Linked DNA regions of Elephas maximus indicus. The protein of the gene in region 1 purifies or fractionates together with the protein of each later gene. This does not show direct contact. Links are inferred from orthologs where the notes say so. Each region holds a gene or a part of one and is shown on either strand. Other genes may lie near its edges.

The links. The genes of interacting proteins can lie anywhere in the genome.
Region 2: the proteins of IQCB1 (region 1) and EXOC1 purify together in Homo sapiens (affinity purification with mass spectrometry; 3 studies listed by BioGRID and IntAct, counting the BioPlex papers as one, with this or other methods). This does not show direct contact. The link is inferred for Elephas maximus indicus from reciprocal best matches to the Homo sapiens genes IQCB1 and EXOC1.

Annotation. Positions count from the first base shown.
Region 1 is NC_064819.1:12,352,220-12,362,294, reverse strand, and holds the start of IQCB1 (IQ calmodulin-binding motif-containing protein 1), read left to right. Parts: upstream 1-5,645; 5' UTR 5,646-5,877; intron 5,878-10,075. Other genes in the region: EAF2 (ELL-associated factor 2), read right to left, coding at 5,356-5,464. UniProt on the Homo sapiens protein: Involved in ciliogenesis. The function in an early step in cilia formation depends on its association with CEP290/NPHP6.
Region 2 is NC_064823.1:105,278,579-105,288,633, reverse strand, and holds the start of EXOC1 (exocyst complex component 1), read left to right. Parts: upstream 1-4,840; 5' UTR 4,841-4,930; intron 4,931-10,055.

The sequences.
Region 1 (10,075 bases):
ATTATTGATAGGTTATGAGGTTGCTGCTGTCATTTTGATGTATTTGTGTGTGCATATGTGTGGTGCTGACGGTTTCTTTGCTACATTTACTGTACTGAGTTCTTTTTGTTTATGTATTTTCTTCTCATCTCTTTCATTATTGTTGATTTTGTGTTTGCTGAGTCTTTACGTTTTTCTTCTTTATTTCGATGGGTAGGTTTGTTAGCTTCCTTTGTGGTTACCTTGAAATTTACCTTTATTTTTTTAAGTTTAAACCAGTCTTTTATTTCTTGATATTGCCTTAACTTCCTCGCCCTATGGAAGTTCTATGGCTACACTGTTTATTCCCTCTTTTTTGTTTTCATGTTGTTGTTATTTACATATTGACATCTCTGGTTTCCTATTTTTAATCTTTTAGCTTTGACTTGTTTTTGAGAATTCCCTATCTGGGTTGGTATCTGGTTGCTCTGTCTTGCATCCTAGTTTTGGATTGTTGTCTGATGTTCTTGGTTTTCTAACTGGAGACTTCCCTTTAATATTTCTTAGAATTTTGGTCCTCCCACGTGTCTGTCAGTTTGTCATACTGTGGGGGCTTGTGTGTTGCTGTGATGCTAGAAGCTATGCCACCGGTATTCAGATACCAGCAGGGTCGCCCATGGAGGACAGGTTTCAGCTGAGCTTCCAGACCAAGACAGATTAGGAAGAAGGACCCAACAGTCTACTTCTGAAAAGAATTAGCCAGGGAAAACCTTATGAATAGCAGCGGAACACTGTCTGATATAGTGCTGGAAGATGAGCCCCCCAGGTTGGAAGGCACTCAAAAGGTGACTGGGGAAGAGCTGCCTCCTCAAAGTAGAGTCGACCTTAATGACGTGGATGGAGTAAAGCTTTCGGGACCTTCATTTGTTGATGTGGCATGACTCAAAATGAGAAGAAACAGCTGCAAACATCCATTAGTAATCGGAACCTGGAATGTACAAAGTATGAATCTAGGAAAATCGGAAATTGTCAAAAACGAAATGGAACGCATAAACATCGATATCCTAGGCATTAATGAGCAGAAATGGGCTGGTATTGGCCATTGTGAATCAGACGATCATATAGTCTACTATGCTGGGAATGACAACTCAAAAAGGAATGGCATTGCTTTCATCATCAAAAAGAACATTTCAAGACCTATCCTGAAGTACAACGCTGTCACAACACTGTCAGTAACAGGATAATATCCATACGCCTACAAGGAAGACCAGTTAGTACGACTATTACTCAAATTTACACACCAACCACTAAGACCAAAGATGAAGAAATTGAAGATTTTTATCAGCTTCTGCAGTCTGAAATTGATTGAACGTGCAAGCAGGATGCATTGATAATTACTGGTGATTGGAATGTGGAAGTTAGAAACAAAGAAGAAGCATTGGTAATTGGAAAATATGGCCTTGGTGACAGAAACAATGCTGGAGATCCAATGATAGAATTCTGCAAGACCAACAACTTCTTCATGGCAAATACCTTCTTTCACCAACAGCAATGGAAGCTATACACATGGACTTTGCCAGATGGAACACACAGGAATCAAATTGACTATATCTGTGGAAAGAGACAATGGAAAAGCTCAATGTCATCAGTCAGAACAAGGCCAGGGGCCGACTGTGGAACCGACCATCAATTGCTCATATGCAAGTTCAAGCTGAAACTGAAGAAAATCAGAGCAAGTCCACGAGACCCAAAATATGACCTTGAGTATATCCCCCCCAAATTTAGAGACCATCTCAAGAATAGATTTGATGCATTGAACACTAGTGACTGAAGACCAGACGAGTTGTGGAATGACATCAAGGACATCATACATGAAGAAAGCAAGAGGTCACTGAAAAGACAGGAATGAAAGAAAAGACCAAAATGGATGGCAGAGGAGACTCTGAAACTTGCTCACAAGTGTCGAGCAGCTAAAGCAAAAGGAAGAAACGATCAAGGAAAAGAACTCAAGATTTCAAAGGGCAGCGCGAGAAGACAAACTATTGTGACGACATGTGCAAACAGCTGGAGACAGAAAACCAAAAGGGAAGAACACACTTGGCATTTCTCAAACTGAAAGAACTGAGGAAAAAATTCAAGTCTTAAGTTACAATAGTGAAGGATTCTATGGGGAAAATATTAAATGACACAGAAAGCATCAAAAGATGGAAGGAATACACAAGGTCATTATACCAGAAAGAATTATTTGAGGTTCAGCCATTTCAAGAGGTAGCATATGACCAGGAATCGATGGTACTAAAGGAAGAAGTACAAGCTGTCTGAAGGCATTGGCGAAAAACAAAGCTCCAGGAATTGACGGAATATCAACTGAGATGTTTCAACAAACAGATGCAGTGCTGGAGGTACTCACTCGTCTATGCCAAGAAATATGGAAGACAGCTTCCTGGCCAACCGAGTAGAAGAGATCCATATTTATGCCTATTCCCAAGAAAGATGATCCAACTGAATGTGGAAATTACAGAACAATATCATTAATATCGCACGCAAGCAAAATTTTGCTGAAGATCATTCAAAAATGGCTGCAGCAATATATCAACAGGGAACTGCCAGAAATTCAGGCCAGTTTCAGAAGAGGACATGGAACCAGGGATATCGTTGCTGATGTCAGATGGGTCCTGGCTGAAAGCAGAGAATACCAGAAAGATGTTTACCTGTATTTTATTGACCATGCAAAGGCATTCGACTGTGTAGATCATATCAAATTATGGATAATATTGCGGAGAACGGGAATTCCTGAACACTTAATTGTGCTCATTAGGAACCTTTACATAGATCAAGAGGCTGTCGTTCAGTCAGAACAAGGGGATATTGTTTGGTTTAAAGTCAGCAAAGGTGTGTGTCAGGGTTGTATCCTTTCACCAAACCTATTCAATCTGTATGCTGAGCAAATAATCTGAGAAACTGGACTGTATGAAGAACGGGGCATCAGGATTGGAAGAAGACTCATTAACAACCTGTGTTATGCAGATGACACAACCTTCCTTGCTGAAAGTGAAGAGGACTTGAAGCACTTACTAATGAAGATCAGAGACCACAGCCTTCAGTATGGATTGCACCTCAACATAAAGAAAACAAAAATCCTCACAACTGGACCAATAAGCAGTATCATGATAAGCAGAGAAAAGACTGAAGTTGTCAAGGATTTCACGTTACTTGGATCTACAATCAACAGCCATAGAAGCAGCAGTCAAGAAATCAAAAGATGCATTGCATTGGGTAAATCTGCTGCAAAGGACCTCTTTAAAGTGTTGAAGAACAAAGATGTCACCTTGAAGACTAAGGTGTGCCTGACCCAAGCCATGGTATTTTCAATCACCTCATACGCATCTGAAAGCTGGACAATGAATAAAGAAGGCCATAGAAGAATTGATGCCTTTGAATTGTGGCATTGACGTAAAATATTGAATATATCACTGACTGCCAAAAGAACGAACAAATCTGTCTTGGAAGGACCGGGCAGTGTTTTGTTCTGTTGCGAACAGGGTCACTGTCACTATGAGTTGGAACGGACTCGGCTGCACCTAACAACAACTACAAAAAGATTATGTGCAATTGCTATGCCTACTTCAACAATAAGAAAAAAATGAGGGCTGAAAACCGTTCTAATGGCTTCTACTGGACTAAGCTGATACTCAAATATCTGGGTTTTTTTTTTTTTGTGGGTGCTATTGTTGCTGTTTTATTTTCATTCCTGCAGCTGGATCATTGACCTATTTCACTTATTCTCTTACACTGAAGGCAGAATTCCAGCATTTTGTGAACCTTTATAAATGAAAGGCTTTAGAGCACTTGCAACGGTGCTTTTCAAAGATTATTTTTTATTTACTTATATTTGTGATTCATGTCCTTAAAAAGAGAGTATATACCCAAGTTATGGGAACAAATATTCTTGAGCAAATTTTTATAATCTTAAACTTAGTAATTTGAAAAATTAATACTATGGACAACAGCCTATAGTGTATAAAGACTACAACATACCTGAGAAGAAAGAGAAAAGGAGAGGGGAGACACTGCTTGAAAGAAAGACATGGAGAAACCAGGTAAGAACCATATCATACTTTTGGAAAATGAGATTAAAGAGGCAGAGGAACTGCAGTCAGCACTACCCGCTGTTTCATTGCGAGAAGCTTTGGACCAGAGAGTAAGGTAAAGAAGAATAAACGACGGCACCGTTGAAGATCTTCTGTTCATGAACATCTCCCCCGCTTATTCTACCAATTGGATGTTAATTTTTCTTTTAAATTTTATTTATTTTGTTGTTGTTACTGAGACTATACACAGCAAAATAATTTTTCTTAAAAAAACCTTTAATAAGAATATTTTGCTTAAATAAAAATAAGTTCCTACAGTCACAATGTAAGTAAATTTTTGGAGAATGTAAATTTTTGTTAGGAGTTTTGGCTGAAACACAGACCAGTTCAAAGCGAAAACCATAAAGGTCTCTAGACGAGCCAGGGCAGAATGACTTAGAAGCTGGGCAAAGGTGAATAAAGGAAGTGAAAAAAATACCTACTTTGCAATTTGCCACAGAAAAATGATCGGTCACGATTTAATGATCTCAAAGTTTCCTTCCAGCTCTAGAATTAATTCTGAGGGTTATTATGCAAAAAAATGAAATTTTACATACAAAATCATAATACGCAACATTCCTTCCTCTAATCTACATCAGTCAAATACTAAAGCAGGAGTTCCCTTTTCAACCTCAACAACATAAAAGCGAACGACTAAAAACTAGTTGCAAAAGACACAGGAAAACCAAAAGGTAGAAGTCACAGGGAGGTAAATACCTTCCGAATAAAGAATGTAATAACACACTGTCCAATAGTTTGATAATATTTGATAACTGACTGAAATCAGAAGTCCCAAGGAAATACAGATTATTGGGATGGTTCAGAACCTCTTCCCAGGAACACACTAAATAAGGACCCTGACCAGCCAGAGGCGAGAAAAAGAGATGATTTCTCCACCAGCCTCAAGGAAGTCCCTTCCCCAGGCACAATGGAGAAGAGCTCGGTTCTTTGCCACCCTGTTAACTGTCACGTTATTATCTGCCTTGCCACCTCTGCCTCAGCCACCCGTCACGTCTCACAGTCCCCTCCGCAGCCCTTCTCCACAAAGTTTCACTTTCCTGCCTGTTGGTCTCAAATTCTTCCGTGGGTTTATGCACACCTGCTGGACTCCAGCTCCTTCTTCCGGCCCCCCTGGAGTCCAGGCAGGGCAGCTGGGTCCCCCACTGTCCAGCAGATTCAGGGGACGGTGGGACCAGAACTCGGAGGGGTTCTGCGCCCACACCCCCATCCCGGAGGCTCCTTTTTCCCGCGGGTCATACCCACTCACAGCGCACAGTGTGGAAGGCGCAGCGCGGTTGCTTCTCGAAAGTCTCGCCCAACTTGAGAACTCGCTCGCGACTGCCGAGGTGCAAGTGTCCCGCCGCTCCATTCATCATTATCCTCTGCCTGCGACTTTGCCGCCGCCGCCGGGCTCGCTACCATCTGCCACCTCAGCCTCAAGTAGCTCCAGCGGCAGCTGCGAGCGCAGCCACGGCAGGCCCCGCCTTCCGCCCGACGCGCGCGGCCCCAGCGGGCGCGCTCGCGCGCTGATTGGCTGCCTGGCGAAGGGCGCCCCGCCCCCTGGCTCGGAGGCGTCTGGTCCCGCCTCCAGAGCCCATCCCGCGTTGCGACGCACGCTGGCCCGGGAAGGCCGCGCCTCTGAGGCGAGCGGTGGGAGAAGGCCGGGCTGGAGGAACCCGAAGCGAAGTTGAGGTAACGGACTGGCTGGCCCGGGGCTGGCCCGGGGGCGGGGAGAGGACCCCTGGATACCGGGAGGCCCGGAAGCCAGGCTCCTGGGGCAAGTAACCAGGTATGTCGGCGCTCTTAACCGGAGGCTCGGCCTGCTTCAGCCCTTTTTGCTCAATGTTAAAAGGGCCTTTTACCGAGTACTTACTTGTGTGGACTCGACGGAAACCGGTTGTGTGGAAACTGAGGTCCGGGATGGGGCTGTATCTGGGCACAAGGCCTGGTGTCTTGCCCAAGGTCTGGGCGCGCCAAAGGCGGGACTGGAACCCTGAGTAAATGAGCCCGCGGACCCCAGAGCCTCGGTCCTTGAACCTGAGGGCAGACGACGCCGTTACCTGAGCAGCCCTTCTCGGACCTCTGTGTTCCTGAGGAAGTGCCTGGTGGAGTTAGGCCTGGGAGAGGAGAAGTGGACGGAGGGAAGAAAGAGGATTCAGAGACGGTAACTGTAGACGTTTGGGATCACTTGCCTTCTTTCGTTTACTTCACAGTGATCCGTGGATGCAGTAACAGGCATCCTATAGGGATAAAAATACGTGACTCCTATAGGATCGAGAGTGGGGCTGGAGCTGGTAGTCTGGCAACAGGGTAATAAAAAAATAGCATCCGTAAATTAATAAATAATTGCCACAATGTTTTTTTTCTGTCAGAGCTTATTAATTTAACGGTAAAGATGGGAGAAGTGTTGCTTTGGAGCCAAATTGAAAAGCACCCAAAAGAAACTTTACAAATGGTTCCCAAAACCAAACCAAACCCAGCCCGCTGCCATCCAGTCGATTCCGACTCATAGGGAACCGCTGATCATTCTTCATTGTAGTTATGTAAAGTGAACTCCCTTACTTCCACCACAGCCAAATTGGCCAGTTTATTGCAGGGCTTCCAACTGGTTCCTTCTGGTTTGGACCCCTGCTGATAAAATGCATTTCCATCCCTAACCTCTTGCTGTCCAGTTGATTCTGACTCCTAGCGACCCTATAGGAGAGTAGAACTGCTCCATAGGGTTTCCAAGGAAAGGCTGATGGATTCAGACTGCCTATTCTTTGGTTAGGAGCTGTAGCTCCTAACCACTGTGCCACCAGGGCTCCATTTCCACCCCAGATATACCAAACCACCAAACCCATTGCTGTTGAGTGGATTTCCACTCATAGTGACCCTATAGTATGGAGTAGAACCGCCCCATAGGGTTTCCAAGGAACGGCTGGTGGATTCAAACTGCTGATCTTTTGGTTAGCAGCAGAGCACTTAACCACTGTGCCACCAGGGCTTCACCCCAGATATACTGACTCACACTCTACAGTTGAACAAGATCCCCAGGTGTATAATAAATTTTGAGAACCACTGTTCTACTAGTAGTTCTCAAAATTGGTCCTTAACCAGCAGCATTAGCATTGCCTGGGAACTTGTTAGAAATGCAAATCATCAGGGCTTCCAACAATTTGAAGCCCTGATTTATTGTTCTAGATGAATAGATGAATGTCTCCTTCAGCCTATCTGCTTGTCTAAATTTCTACACTTGTAAGGCCTACGAGTGGTTAAGAGGAAACCCTGGTGGCATAGTGGTTAAGAGGTATGGCCTCGAGCCAAAAGCTCGGCAGTTCGAATCCACCAGGTGCTCCTTGGAAACCCTATGGGGCAGTTCCACCCTGTCCTGTAGGGTTGCTACTAGTCAGAATCAACACACGGCTAATGGGTTTTGTTTTTCTTGGTTTTAAGACTGTACCTGAGTGCTCAGGTTCTGGAGCCAGAATTTCTGAGTTTGAACTCTGGCTTCATACCTAGCATTGTGATTTTGTGCAAACTAATTAACTCTCCAAAGTTAAGGCTGCTTATTGTTAAAATCAGGGAAAAAATAATATCTCTTAGAATAGGTGCCTTCATGGCGCAGTGGTTAAGCGCTCAGCTGCTAACTGAAAGGTCCGTGGTTCAAACCCACTAGCTGCTCCATGGGAGAAAGATATGGCAGTCTGCTTCCGTAGAGATTACAGTCTCGGAAACTCTGTAAGGCAGTTCTACTCTGTCCTATAGGGTCCCTACGAGTCGGAATTCAACTTGATGGCAGTGGCTGTTTGTTTGTTTGTTTATCTCTTAAAAATTGTTGAGAGGATTAAGTTAGTTAATATATGAAAACTTTTAGAAAAATGAATGGCAAATAATAAGAGCTCTCCAAGTAGTTTTTAATGTCTAGCTCTACCGTCAGAACATTTGAGGGCCGTCCTTGGTGGCTCTCTTCTCTTCTGTATATTAATTATTCTTAAAAAAAAAAAAAAAAAACCTGTCGCTGTTAAGTTGATTCTGACTCATAGCGATCCTAGAGAGCTGCCCCATAGGGTTTCTAAGGCATGGCTGGTAGGTACAAACTGCTGACCTTTTGGTTAGCAGCCTAGCAGCCGAGCTCTTAACCAGTGTGCCACCAGGGCTCCTTAATTATTCTAGGAGATGGGAATTGCTACTTTGTTTATAAGTCTAAAAAACTGGTTCAGGGAAGACCAGTCCTCTGACTTTATTATCTTATCATCTGTGTTATCTATTTGGTGCTTAAGATATTGTATTTTATAGATAGTTAAATGCCTTTTCTTTCCCAACTAGAACATCATTAATCATTGTGACCATTGCATCTAACATAGCGCCCTACACACAGATGTTTGGTGATGATCATGTTTCAGTTACGTTTTACTATGTTAGCCAGGAGGGCAGGAGCTATGTTTGAAGCCCATCTTATTCTTTCGAAATGACTTCCTGTCAGAAATTGGAGGTTCCCATACTGTAACAGGGAAAAAAGCAGAGGGTCAGGAAATTGAGTCTTGGAATATACAAGGTTCATGCCTTTATTCATTCTTTCAACATACATTCATTAAGTACCTACCACATGCCAGGTACTACTCTAGCAACTGAGAATACAGCAGTGAACCAAAGAGTAAGACCTGTACAAGGCTAGTCTTGGTTTGGCCCTCATGAAGCTTACATTCTAGTGCAAATTTCCCCCAAATATATGTTAAAACAAATTTTTTATATGTTGTATTAGTCCAGTAATAAGCAAATAAATTAATGGAACTGACTAGAATTCAAAAAGTATACCCAAATATATTTATGATAACTTAGCATATGACAAAAACAGCATTTCAGATTGCTACTTTTATGTCTTTTCTTGGCTAATTACCTTAGAAATTTAATGTAGGTATGTGCATTTGACTTTCTAGTACTTTTTAGATCTTTGGGTAGGAAGGGCCTTTCTAAAAAAGACACAAAAAATAGAAGCCATAGAGGAAAATACTGTTATATTTTCTACATAAAAAATTTTAAGCTTATGATAAAGACACCGTAATCAAATGTAATGGCAGACAAGGAGAAACTGTTTACAGTCAGCATAAAGGTAGAGAGAGTTCATATCCATGTATGAAAAGCTTCTACAAAAGAATAAGGCAAACAAACTAGTAGAAAAATGGTCAAAGGATGTGAGTAGAAATATATAGAAGAAGAAATGGCCAGTGAACATGAAAATATGCCTGACTTCCCTAATAAATACAAATTAAAATAGCATGATACCAATTTTCATCTTACAGATTAGCAAAAATGTGAAAGATAACATGTTAGTAAAGGACTAAGGAAATGAACAGCCTCATGCTTCATGGCGGGAATACAAATCAGAAAAACATTTTGTAGAAAAACCTGGCATTGTCTAATCAAGATGTAAACTATGTATACCCTGTAATCCAGCCATCCAACTTCAAGGAATTCATTCTACAAAAATACTAGCATGAGTACATAAACACACATACACTGATATTCACTGCATCATTGCTTGTAATATCCTACAACTGGAATGATTATCAATAGAGGAGATGTTTAAATATATTTTGATATACTCTTTGTTGTTGAGAATATACACGTACACCAATTCAGCAGTTTCTTTGTATACAATTCAGTGACACTTGTTACAGTCTTCGAGTTGTATAACCATTTTCACTCCTTTTCTGAGTTGTTCCTCCTCCATTAACATAAACTCACTGCCCCCTAAGGCTACAGTCTAATCTTTTGAGTTGCTGTTGTCGCTTTGATCCTATGTAGATAGTTCTTAAAAAGAGCACAATGCTCAAGGAGACATTTTTTTTTTACTAGTTAAGCTAGACTGTTTGGTTTTAGGAAGACTTAAGGGGATATTTTTGGTTTAAGGTTTAAAGATTATCTCTGGGCGGTATTTTGGTAGTTCATCCAACCTCTGTAGCTCCAGAAAGTCTGCATTCCATGAGAATTTGAAATTCTGTTTT
Region 2 (10,055 bases), on another chromosome or scaffold:
ATTTCGTTGTTCATTTTATGTAGAGGGTGAGGTGGTCTGAGGTAAAAATATTTACCGACTCCTGGGTTTGCCTTTCTTGACTGCAGTGCATCTGCCAACATTCACAATTACAGGAATTATAGCATTCCTGATCAACATTATCTCACTGTTGATATTGTTGTATCAAGTTCATTCCAACCCATGTTGACACCAAGTGTGCAGAGTAGGACTGTGCTCTCTGGGTTTCCAAGGCTGTGATATTTTGGAAGCAGATGACCAGGCCTGTCTCTGAGCGTCTGGGTAGGTTCAAACTGCCAGCCTTTCAGCTAATAGGATAGCACTTAGCCATTTGTACCACATAGGAACTTATTTTATCTCAACTAAGGAACCCATTTTCAGGGAAAAATAAAAAAGTATGACAATATATACATGATCATGGAATCCATAGAAACTGCCATATCCCTCATCACCCAGAAGTATCCAGCCTTATAAAATGGTGGGATGGTCTGTTACTGGCTTAGCTAATGTGCCTGCCTGCTTAGGACAACACCCTGTAGAAATGGAGTGTTGTCTTACAGGATGTGGTAAATGTACTGAACCAGCCAATAAAGAGTGCCCTCAACAGCTAGAAGACATGGCTCCAGAAACCCAGAGGTGGAAGCAGAATTGGCCCATCTTACCATCACCGTCAAGTGACCCACTCATAGAATTTGTTTCCGGCCTCTCAAATTTGGGCTTTACTAAATCAGAATAACTGGTTCCTCAGGGATAGTATAGGGAATGCTTCTACCATGATACACAATATGGATTTCCCTGAACTTGAAATTCTCACTAACACATGGTTACTTTGGGCTTTTTTTGGTGGTAAACTAGCTAGCAAAGAAAGGAATTACTATAATGATGGGAGTAATCAACTGAGATCAGCAAAAGGAGCCTAGGATTTTTGCTACACAGTAACAGTAGACAGTACCGTATCTGGTATCCAAGAAATTCACTGGGGCTTATCTTGGTGTTTTGTACTCAAGGATAAGTTGAAGGCAACTGCAGCAACCATGGCCCAACCAGAGTAAGGAAAATAAAGATAAAGGTCTGGATTACCTCACCAGGGAAGCAACCTAGATTAGTTGATATGCTGGCCAAGGGTGAGGGGAAGTTAGGATGGATAGAGGAGGAGAGAGTTAAAAAATGTACATCTGCCCTTGGCATCAGCATAGCAGCAGGGACTGAAGCCTGTATTAACTCTCTTGTATTAAGTCCTTGCAGGAATCGTGGCTGGCCACCACTCTGAAGTAGCCTCTGTGAGAGAATAGACTTAATGGAGGGCACAAGCAGATCTGAATGGTGTAAGAAATGGCCTGAAATGGACACCCTCTGTGCACTACTTCAAATCTCTTCAGTCTCTTATTTCAACCACTGCTCCAGCTACCTGTTCTGAGCAAGGTTTGATGAGCTTTCAGCAAGTGTAACGTGACAGCACCTCTCCTCTCGCTTCCTGCCCTAGGACTTCTCTGATGTGGAAGCCAGTGTGACATTCACAATTGTGCATTTTGGAAGTGTGGTGTAGTTGATGACCAGGAGCATTATCCTTTGATAAAGGAGTACCAGAGCCAACAGGTAAAACCTTCTTCTATTTTTTCCCCCATTTGGACAGTTCAGAGACTCATTTCACAAGACTTCATAGAAGGTCATACAGGATCAAGAAAACATTCCAACATGCTGTTAGCCAACTCAATAACACATCCTTATGTTGACTTTACTCATTCTTGTTTCACGTACCCTCCTCCTTCCCTCATTCGTGCTCTCTGGGTTCATACCCCCAAATAAACTACTAACACATAAGTTCTTGTTTTGGCCTCTACTTTTGGAGGAAGAGGAGATACAAGGCTTTCATTTTTGTACACATTAAGTGTCAGATTTTATTAGTCCAAAAAAACAAACTCATTGCTGTCAAGTCAATTCCAACTCATGGTGACCCCATGTGTTACACAAGAGAACTGTTCCACAGGGTCTTCTTGGCTGTAATCTTTACAGAAGCAGATCACCAGGCCTTTCTTCTCAGGTGCAACCCTTAGGTTAGCAGCTGATTGCAAGCCACTTGTACCACCCAGGTATGCAGTGAGCCTGAGGCACTTACTGGATATCTAAATGGAAATGTCAGGGGGGCAGTTGGATATACAAATCCGGAATTCAGGAAAGAAGTTCAGACTACATAAATAAATGTGAAATACAATTCATTTCCCTGCTTTGAGAGGGCTGTAACCATACAGGTAAACAAAAGATAGAAAATAGAACGAAGTAACACATGCAATTGTCACATAAAGAGTGTCCACAGTAAGTGTTTGGAGATTGACTAAGCAGGGACAGAGGCGTTTTTATACAGAAAGGACTCGATAGAGATCACACTCTTGAAACGGAAGTCATTCCATGAAAGTGAAAAGATTCCAAGCAGCATTGATTAGACCATATTATTTTCAATAACAAACGGATCTCTACAATTTCTGTGGTTTTTCCCACCAAATAGTATCTTCGGATAAATAATGAAAGACATTTTGCACAGCTGATTTGTCACTTTCTCAGTGAATCCGTCCCTGGCAGAATGAATTACTACCTCTTTTGCATATCTACAATGTTATGAATTGAATCGTGTCCCCCAAAATTGTGTTATAAACCCTAATTCCAGAACACTTAATTGTGCTCATGAGCAACCTGTACATAGACCAAGAGGCAGTCATTCCAACAGAACAAGGGGATAGAGTGTGGTTTAAAGCCAGGAAAACTGTGTATCAGGGTTGTATCCTTTCACCATACTATTTAATCTGTATGCTGGGCAAATAATCTGAGAAACTGGACTATATGAAGAACTTGGCATCAGGATTGGAGGAAGACTCATTAACAACCTGCAATATGCAGATGACACAACCTTGTTTGCTGAAAGTGAGGAAAACTGAAGCACTTACTGGTGAAGATCAAAGACCACAGCCTTCAGCATGGATTACACCTCAACATAAAACAAAAATTTTCACAACTGAACCAATAAGCAACATCAAGATAAATGCAGAAAAGATTGAAGCTGGCAAGGATTTCATTTTACTTGGATCCACAATCAATGCCCATGGAAGCAGCAGTCAAGAAATCAAACAATGCATTGCATTGGGCAAATCTGCTGTAAAAGATTTCTTTAAAGTGCTATAAAGCAAAGATGTCACTTTGAGGACTAAGGTGCACCTGACCCAAGCCATGGTATTTTCAATTGCCTCATGTGGAAGACGGGAGAAAAATTGATGCCTTTGAATTATGGCATTAGTGAAGAATACTGAATATACCATGAACTGCCAGAAGAATGAACAAAATCTGTCTTAGAAGTACAGCCAGAATGCTCCTTAGAAAGGAGGATGGCAAGCCTTCTTCTCGTGTACTTTGGACATGTTATCAGGAGGGTCTAGTCCCTTGAGAAAGACATCATATTTGGTAAAGCAGAAGGTCTGCAAAAAAACAGGAAGACCTTCAATGAGATGGATTGACACAGTGGCTGCAACAATGGTCTCAAACATAGCAAAGATTGGAGGGTGTCACAGAACTGGGCACTGTTTCCTCCTGTTGTGCATGGGGTCGCTAGGCATTGGAACCAGCTCAAAATCACCTAACAGCAAGAAACTAAGACACACGGTATTTCATCTCTTTTTTCTTCCTTTGTTGTTGGGTTTATCTCACTAGGGTACAATTTATGCATCTATTTGATAGGGTCACTATAAGTCAGAATCGAATCAACGGCAACGGGTTTTTAAGGGTTTTTCTCCAATGATAGTATGACCCCCTTGTGGGTGGGATCCCTATCTTTGTGTCTCTAGCACCTAACACAGTGCCGAAGATTGATTATTAAATAAACGAACACATGCATGAATGGATTTCTACAGCAACTTGCAACGACATGCTCCTTTGAACTTCCAGCACACTTATCTGACCTGTACCTCTCTTCAGTCACTTATTTTGTATCCTCTTTTTTATATTTATTTATATCTACATCTTGTCTGTCCTACCATACTCTGAACTCCTTCAGGGCAGGATTCATGTCCGAATCACCTCTGTACCTGGTATCAACCTGTCTGGTTTAAAACAGGTGCCAGGGATATGGAATCAATGAATCATTTGCCTTCCCACCAGCAACACTGGCAACACCCGTGCTTCTCAAATGTAAATGTGCGTAGGAGTCATCCCCTTAAGATGAAGATTCCGATTCAGTACATTTGAAGTGGGCCAAAGAGGCTGCTTTTTCTAAAAAGTTCCCAAATGGTACCCATGCAGCAGGTCCGCGGACCGTACTTTGAGTAGCAAAGTCATCGAAGCAATGATTCTCGCCCTTAAAGGTGTATTTAGAATAATCTGGGAGCTATCGAAAGTGCTAGTATCTGGGTCGCATCTCCAGAGTTTTAACTCATTTAAACTCTCCACGCTTTTAAGTAGCCAGGAACAAGACTTAAGCATCACAAACGCAAAAAATAAAACACTTCAGCTGATACCCTCTTAAACGAATTGCTGAAACATCTGAGTAAATAATTCTTCTCAAAAGTAATACATCGGGCGGCACCAAAGCCTGCCGTTTCAAGTCAGCGCGCGGTAGCGGCCGGGTCCCTGACCCTCCTTGGCGCAACTCCTCCGGCGAAGCCCCGCCCCGCCGCGCCCTGCCCCGCCGCGCCCCACCCCACCGGTGGCGCCACGCCCCTGCGTCTATTGGCCACTCCCTTTTTCCCTCCGTTTTTTCCTCCTCTACAGGGTTGACTTCCGGCTCGGAGCTTTGTCACGTGCCCGGATATGGGAAGTGGTAGGGAAACGGCTGCTTCCCGTTCACCGCTTAATTGAGGGGAGCTTTCCAGTACTGGTCGCCGCCTTGCCGCGTGCTGTCTCGGTCTTGGAGGGCCCGCCTCGGCGCAGCCGGGCTCGGTACTGTCCTGCGGTAAGCCTTCGGTCGCGGCTGCCCCGTAGTCCCGGCGGCAGGCAGACGATCGGGCGGGCGCCAGGGCCTGAGGCGGCACCTCTTTCCCACTGCTGGTTCGGCGACCGGGGTCAGGGCACAGCTCCCTCCGACGACAGTCCCTCCTTCTTTTCCCGGCGTCGCTGTGTAGGGCGCAAAGTCTGGGCCGAGCTTCCCCCACTTGGCCTGGGGTCTGGGAGAAAGTGGAGCAGAGAAGGCAATCTTCACACATCCGTTTCCGGCTCCGCCTTTGGGGACCAGATTTCATTTTTATCCTTGATTGTTCGAGCTTTGGAGTGGACGGGAAAGGAGGGTGTGGCAGTGTCTCCCCGCTCTCTCTTTTTTTTTTTCTCCCTAAGTCTATATTTTCTTCTAAGTTTCTTAAGTACATTCCTGTCTTGGTATGCCGTTCTCTTCACTGCATGACGGCACTCCACGCGCTAAAGTGTGTCGACAGCATGCGGGGCTCCACCCACATGGACGCTCACTGACAAGCTGTCACCACAAGCCCACCACAGAGTGGAATGGTCCAACTGAATTTAAGGAAACAAGAACGAAAACACAGAGTATGCAGTGGCTGGCTGCCTCTGGAACATAGTCAGACACAGGTTCTTAGAGCTGGAAAATAATTTTAGAGAACCTGTAATGATTTATTTACTGCCTTCCAGAAAGTATTGTAAAGTGGAGAGTAGGTTACTTAGCTCTTAGAATGTAAATGCCACGAAGACAGGGGCGTCTTCGTGTCTTCATGAACGTGTTTATCACGTTCAATAGAGAGATACCTGGCCCTTCATAGGCATCAGTATTTGCTGACCGAATGAGGGGCCCCACAGTGCTTTTCATTTATGTCTAACATCTTTATGAGGTATACCCAATCCTCTCTTGTTTTACCATTTACCATGCATTGAGTCCTTGCTTTTGGCCAAAGAGGGATCATGTGGTAAATGTTGGCCACTATTAGTCATTCATTTGACCAGTTTTTACTAATCAATTTAGATGGCTCAAGAGGTGTTTGTCGAGTACCTACTATGAATTCAAAACACTTTGATAGAGTGTGTGTTTGTCTCCCTCTCTCTCCCCCTCCTTTTTTTTATTTTTTCTTTAAAAGAGTTCTCCAGATCCAGGAGCGTATGATGTCATGAACCAATTAGACAGCCAGTGCTTGGTTGTTTATTAAGTGCAACTGAAATTGAGAGTAGAGATCAATTTGTACTTAAGATCCTTACTGAGTCAACATCATAAAAACCCTGAAGTGTAATTACATTCCCTGTATGGAAAAGCACCTAAGTGAAGATTTAAAGCCTGAAACTTGGAGTAGGAGGTTCGGATATAGAAGCATTAGGAAAATCTTGAATGAGGGCATGGTGTGATGAAGCTGTGTTTTAACATTATCTGCTTATTGGAGTTTTGGGGGGTTATGGAAGTTTGCAAAGAGATGGCCTGATGCTATAGTATTTAAATATCATGGATGATGTGAGTCTGGTTTAGTGTGGTGAGAATGGGAACAGAAAGGAAGGCATGAATTATGTGTGTCGGGGGGGGGAGGTAACAAAATGTGGTGACAGATGTTGAGAGTGGAGGAGAGGAATCAAATAGGGCAGATTTTAAACCTGGGCATTTGCGTACAGGTGTGAGAGTTGGAAAGAGGGAACTTTTTGGAAGCCGTAGTTGTTAAATTATTTAGTGCTATCATTTTAGTTGATTTAAGTATTTCTTAAATGCTTACTAAGTGCCCTTTGCCAAGTTCTAGGAATACAGAGACGAATATGACATGATCCTTACCTATAAAGAGCTACTTTTAATGGAGAAGAGAAGAGAATGTAGCTAGCTGGAAAATACAGTTGGTAAGTGCTGTGCTAGTGTAGTAGAGAGTTAGGGAAGTAGAAGAGGAATTTTTTTGGGGTGGTGGTGGTGGTAATAGTCTAGCATGATCTTAAGAGGGGAGTTAGAATTTCCTAAGGAGAAAAGAAAAAGATATTGCATGAGCATAAGCCCAGATATAGAAAAGTAAACTGGCCAGTGTTCGACGTGGTGTAGGGTGGAGTAGAGCTTGTGAGCAAGTGTTTAGGCCCTGGAACATATTAAGGGATTAGTAATGGGCATTTTGTAATAGGCGAAAAAGAGGTTAGGATGGGTGAAGATGTAGAAAGATGGAGACAAAAGCAATTGGGGAGAATTATACTTCATGGCCTCTATATTATCTGCAAGTCAGTGATACAGTCATCTGTGGAGAGTGAGGGGGCCCACACCATTTGGGGTCTAAATCAGAAATAGTAAAGATTTGTGACAACAGTGATGGCAGATGGGAAAAGGAAGCATTAAAGGAAGTGTAAGTGTTAAAGAATTGCCGAGCAGCATTGAAAGTCCAGGTTTGGATGAATTTCGATATTTAAAATGCAGTCAGTGAGCACAGATATGTGGCTTTCTTAAGTGGCCTATATTGTTGTTGTTAGGTGCCATTGAGTCGATTCCAACTCACGGCAACCCTGTGTACAACAGAATGAAACCCTGCCAGGTCCTGTGCTATCCTGACTGTTGTTGCTATGCTTGTGCCCATTGTTGCAACCACTGTGTCAGTCCATCTTGTTGAGGGTCTTCCTCTTTTTCACTGACCCCCTACTTTACCAAGCATGATGCCCTTCTCCAGTGACTGATCTGTCCTGATAACATGTCTGAAGTATGTGAGATGTGGTCTCGCCATCCTTACTTCTAAGGAGCATTCTGGTTGTACTTCTTCCAAGACAGATTTGTTTGTTCTTTTGGCAGCCCATGGTGTATTCAGTATTCTTCGCCAACAGCACAATTCAAAGGTGCCAGTTTTTCTTCGGTCTTCCTTATTCATTGTCCAGCATTATGCGTATGAAGCAATTGAAAACACCATGGCTTGGGTCAGGCATACCTTAGTCCTAAAGGTGACATCTTTGCTCTTCAACGCTTTAAAGAAACCTGTTGCAGACAATTTGCCCAATGCAATGTGTCTTTTGATTTCTTGACTGCTGCTTTCATAGGTGTTGATTGTGGATTCAAGTGAAATGAAATCCTTGACAACTTCAATCCTTTCTCCGTTCATTATGGTGTTGCTTATTGGGCCAATTGTGAGGATTTTTGTTTTCTTTATGTTCAGGTGTAATCCATACTAAAGGCTGTGGTCTTTCATCTTCAGTAAGTGCTTCAAGTCCTCTTCACTTTCAGCAAGCAAGGTTGTGTCAATCTGCATATCAGTTGTTAGTGAGTTTTCCTCCAACGCTGATGCCCCGTTCTTCTTCATATAGTCCAGCTTCTTGGATTATTTGCCCAGCATACAGATTGAATAGGTATGGTGAAAGGATACAACTCTGATGCACACCTTTCCTGACTTTAAACCATGTAGTATCCCCTTGTTCTCTTGATCCATGTACAGATTCCTCATGAGCACAATTAAGTGTTCTGAAATTCCCATTCTTTGCAATGTTATGCATAATTTGTTATGATCCACATGGTTGAATGCCTTAGCATAGTCAATAAAACACAGGTAAACATCTTTATGGTGTTCTCTGCTTTCATCCAGGATCCATCTGACATCAACAGTGATATCCCTGGTTCCATGTCCTCTTTTGAATCCACCTCGAATTTCTGGCAGTTCCCTGTTGATATACTGCTGCAGCTGCTTTTGAATGATCTTCAGCAAAACTTTGCTTGCATGTGATACTAATGATACTGTTTGATAATATCAGTGACCTATGGTAACCCAATAAAAGTAGAGAAAAAATATGGTTTACGGAGATGGGTTAACTAGGGCGAACTGGTCAACAGAGTAGGATAATTGAAGGGGATAGTGTGGGTGTAGGAAATGACCACTGCCTCCAGGCTAGGTGGGAAAAGAAATTAAGCTAGAAGGGGCTAGACAGACTAAGAGAACAGGGAGGAAGGGGAAGTTAAAAGAGGTCGAAATAGGTTAAAGAGGGATGGAAGAGGAAGAATGAGTGATTTTTGTGAGGAGCGATTTTTGTAATAAGCGCAGAGATAAACATTTCACAGATTGAGTAAAATATAGCAAAGATGTTACAAAAGTATCAAATGTGTTATAAAAATTCATTGTAAGTCATTTTTAAAAAACTCACGATTCATTTTCCAGTAGAAACATTGTTACATTGTTATATGTTGAAATTAGTTTCCTAGGCAAGCTCACTTATGAAATACTGCACATTGGCATTGAAAAATAATTATATGTACACATATACAGATATATACCACAAAAGTAAAATTAAAGAGTTTTTTTTTTTTTTATGTTGGTGTTTGAAAAAAGCTTTTGAGTTGGAGGAGAAAAAAAGATTAAAAAAAATTTTCTAACAGCTTTATTGAGACGTAATTCACATATCATAAAATTTACCGTTTTAAAAAAGTATACAATTCATTGATTTTTTTAGTCTATTCACAAGGTTGTACAACTATCTATAATTCGAGGACATTCTTATAACCCCCAAAAGGAATCTGATATATTAGCAGCCACTCCCCCTCCCCTCCTTTTCCAGTCCCCTGGCAAGCACTAATTTATTTTCTGTCCTAATGGATTTACCTATTCTGGACATTTCATGTAAATGGAATCGTACAGTGCCTGGTCTTTGTGACTGGCTTTTTTCAATTAGTCTAATGTTTTCAGGATTCATCCATGTCGTAGCATGTGTCAGTACTTCATTTCTTTGTTTATGGCTGAATAATATTCCATTATATGGACATCACAGGAGAAAGATGTGACAGTCTACTTCTGTAAAGATTTACAGCTTTGGAAACCCTATTGGGCAGTTCTACTCTGTCATATAGAGTCGCTGTAAGTAGGAACCGACTCGATGGGTATGAGTATATGGATATATCACATTTTGTTTATCTCTTCATCAGCTGATGGACATTTGGGTTGCTTTCACCTTTGGACTGTTGTGAATGATGGTTCTATGGACATTCATGTACAAATTTTTGTATGAACATATATTTTTAACTCTCTTGGGTATATACCTAGGAATGGAATTGCTAGGTCATATAGTAAATCTGTGTTTAACTTTTTGAGGGATCATCAAACTGTTTTCCAAAGTGGTTTCATCATTTTACAATCCCACCAGCAGTGTATGAGCAT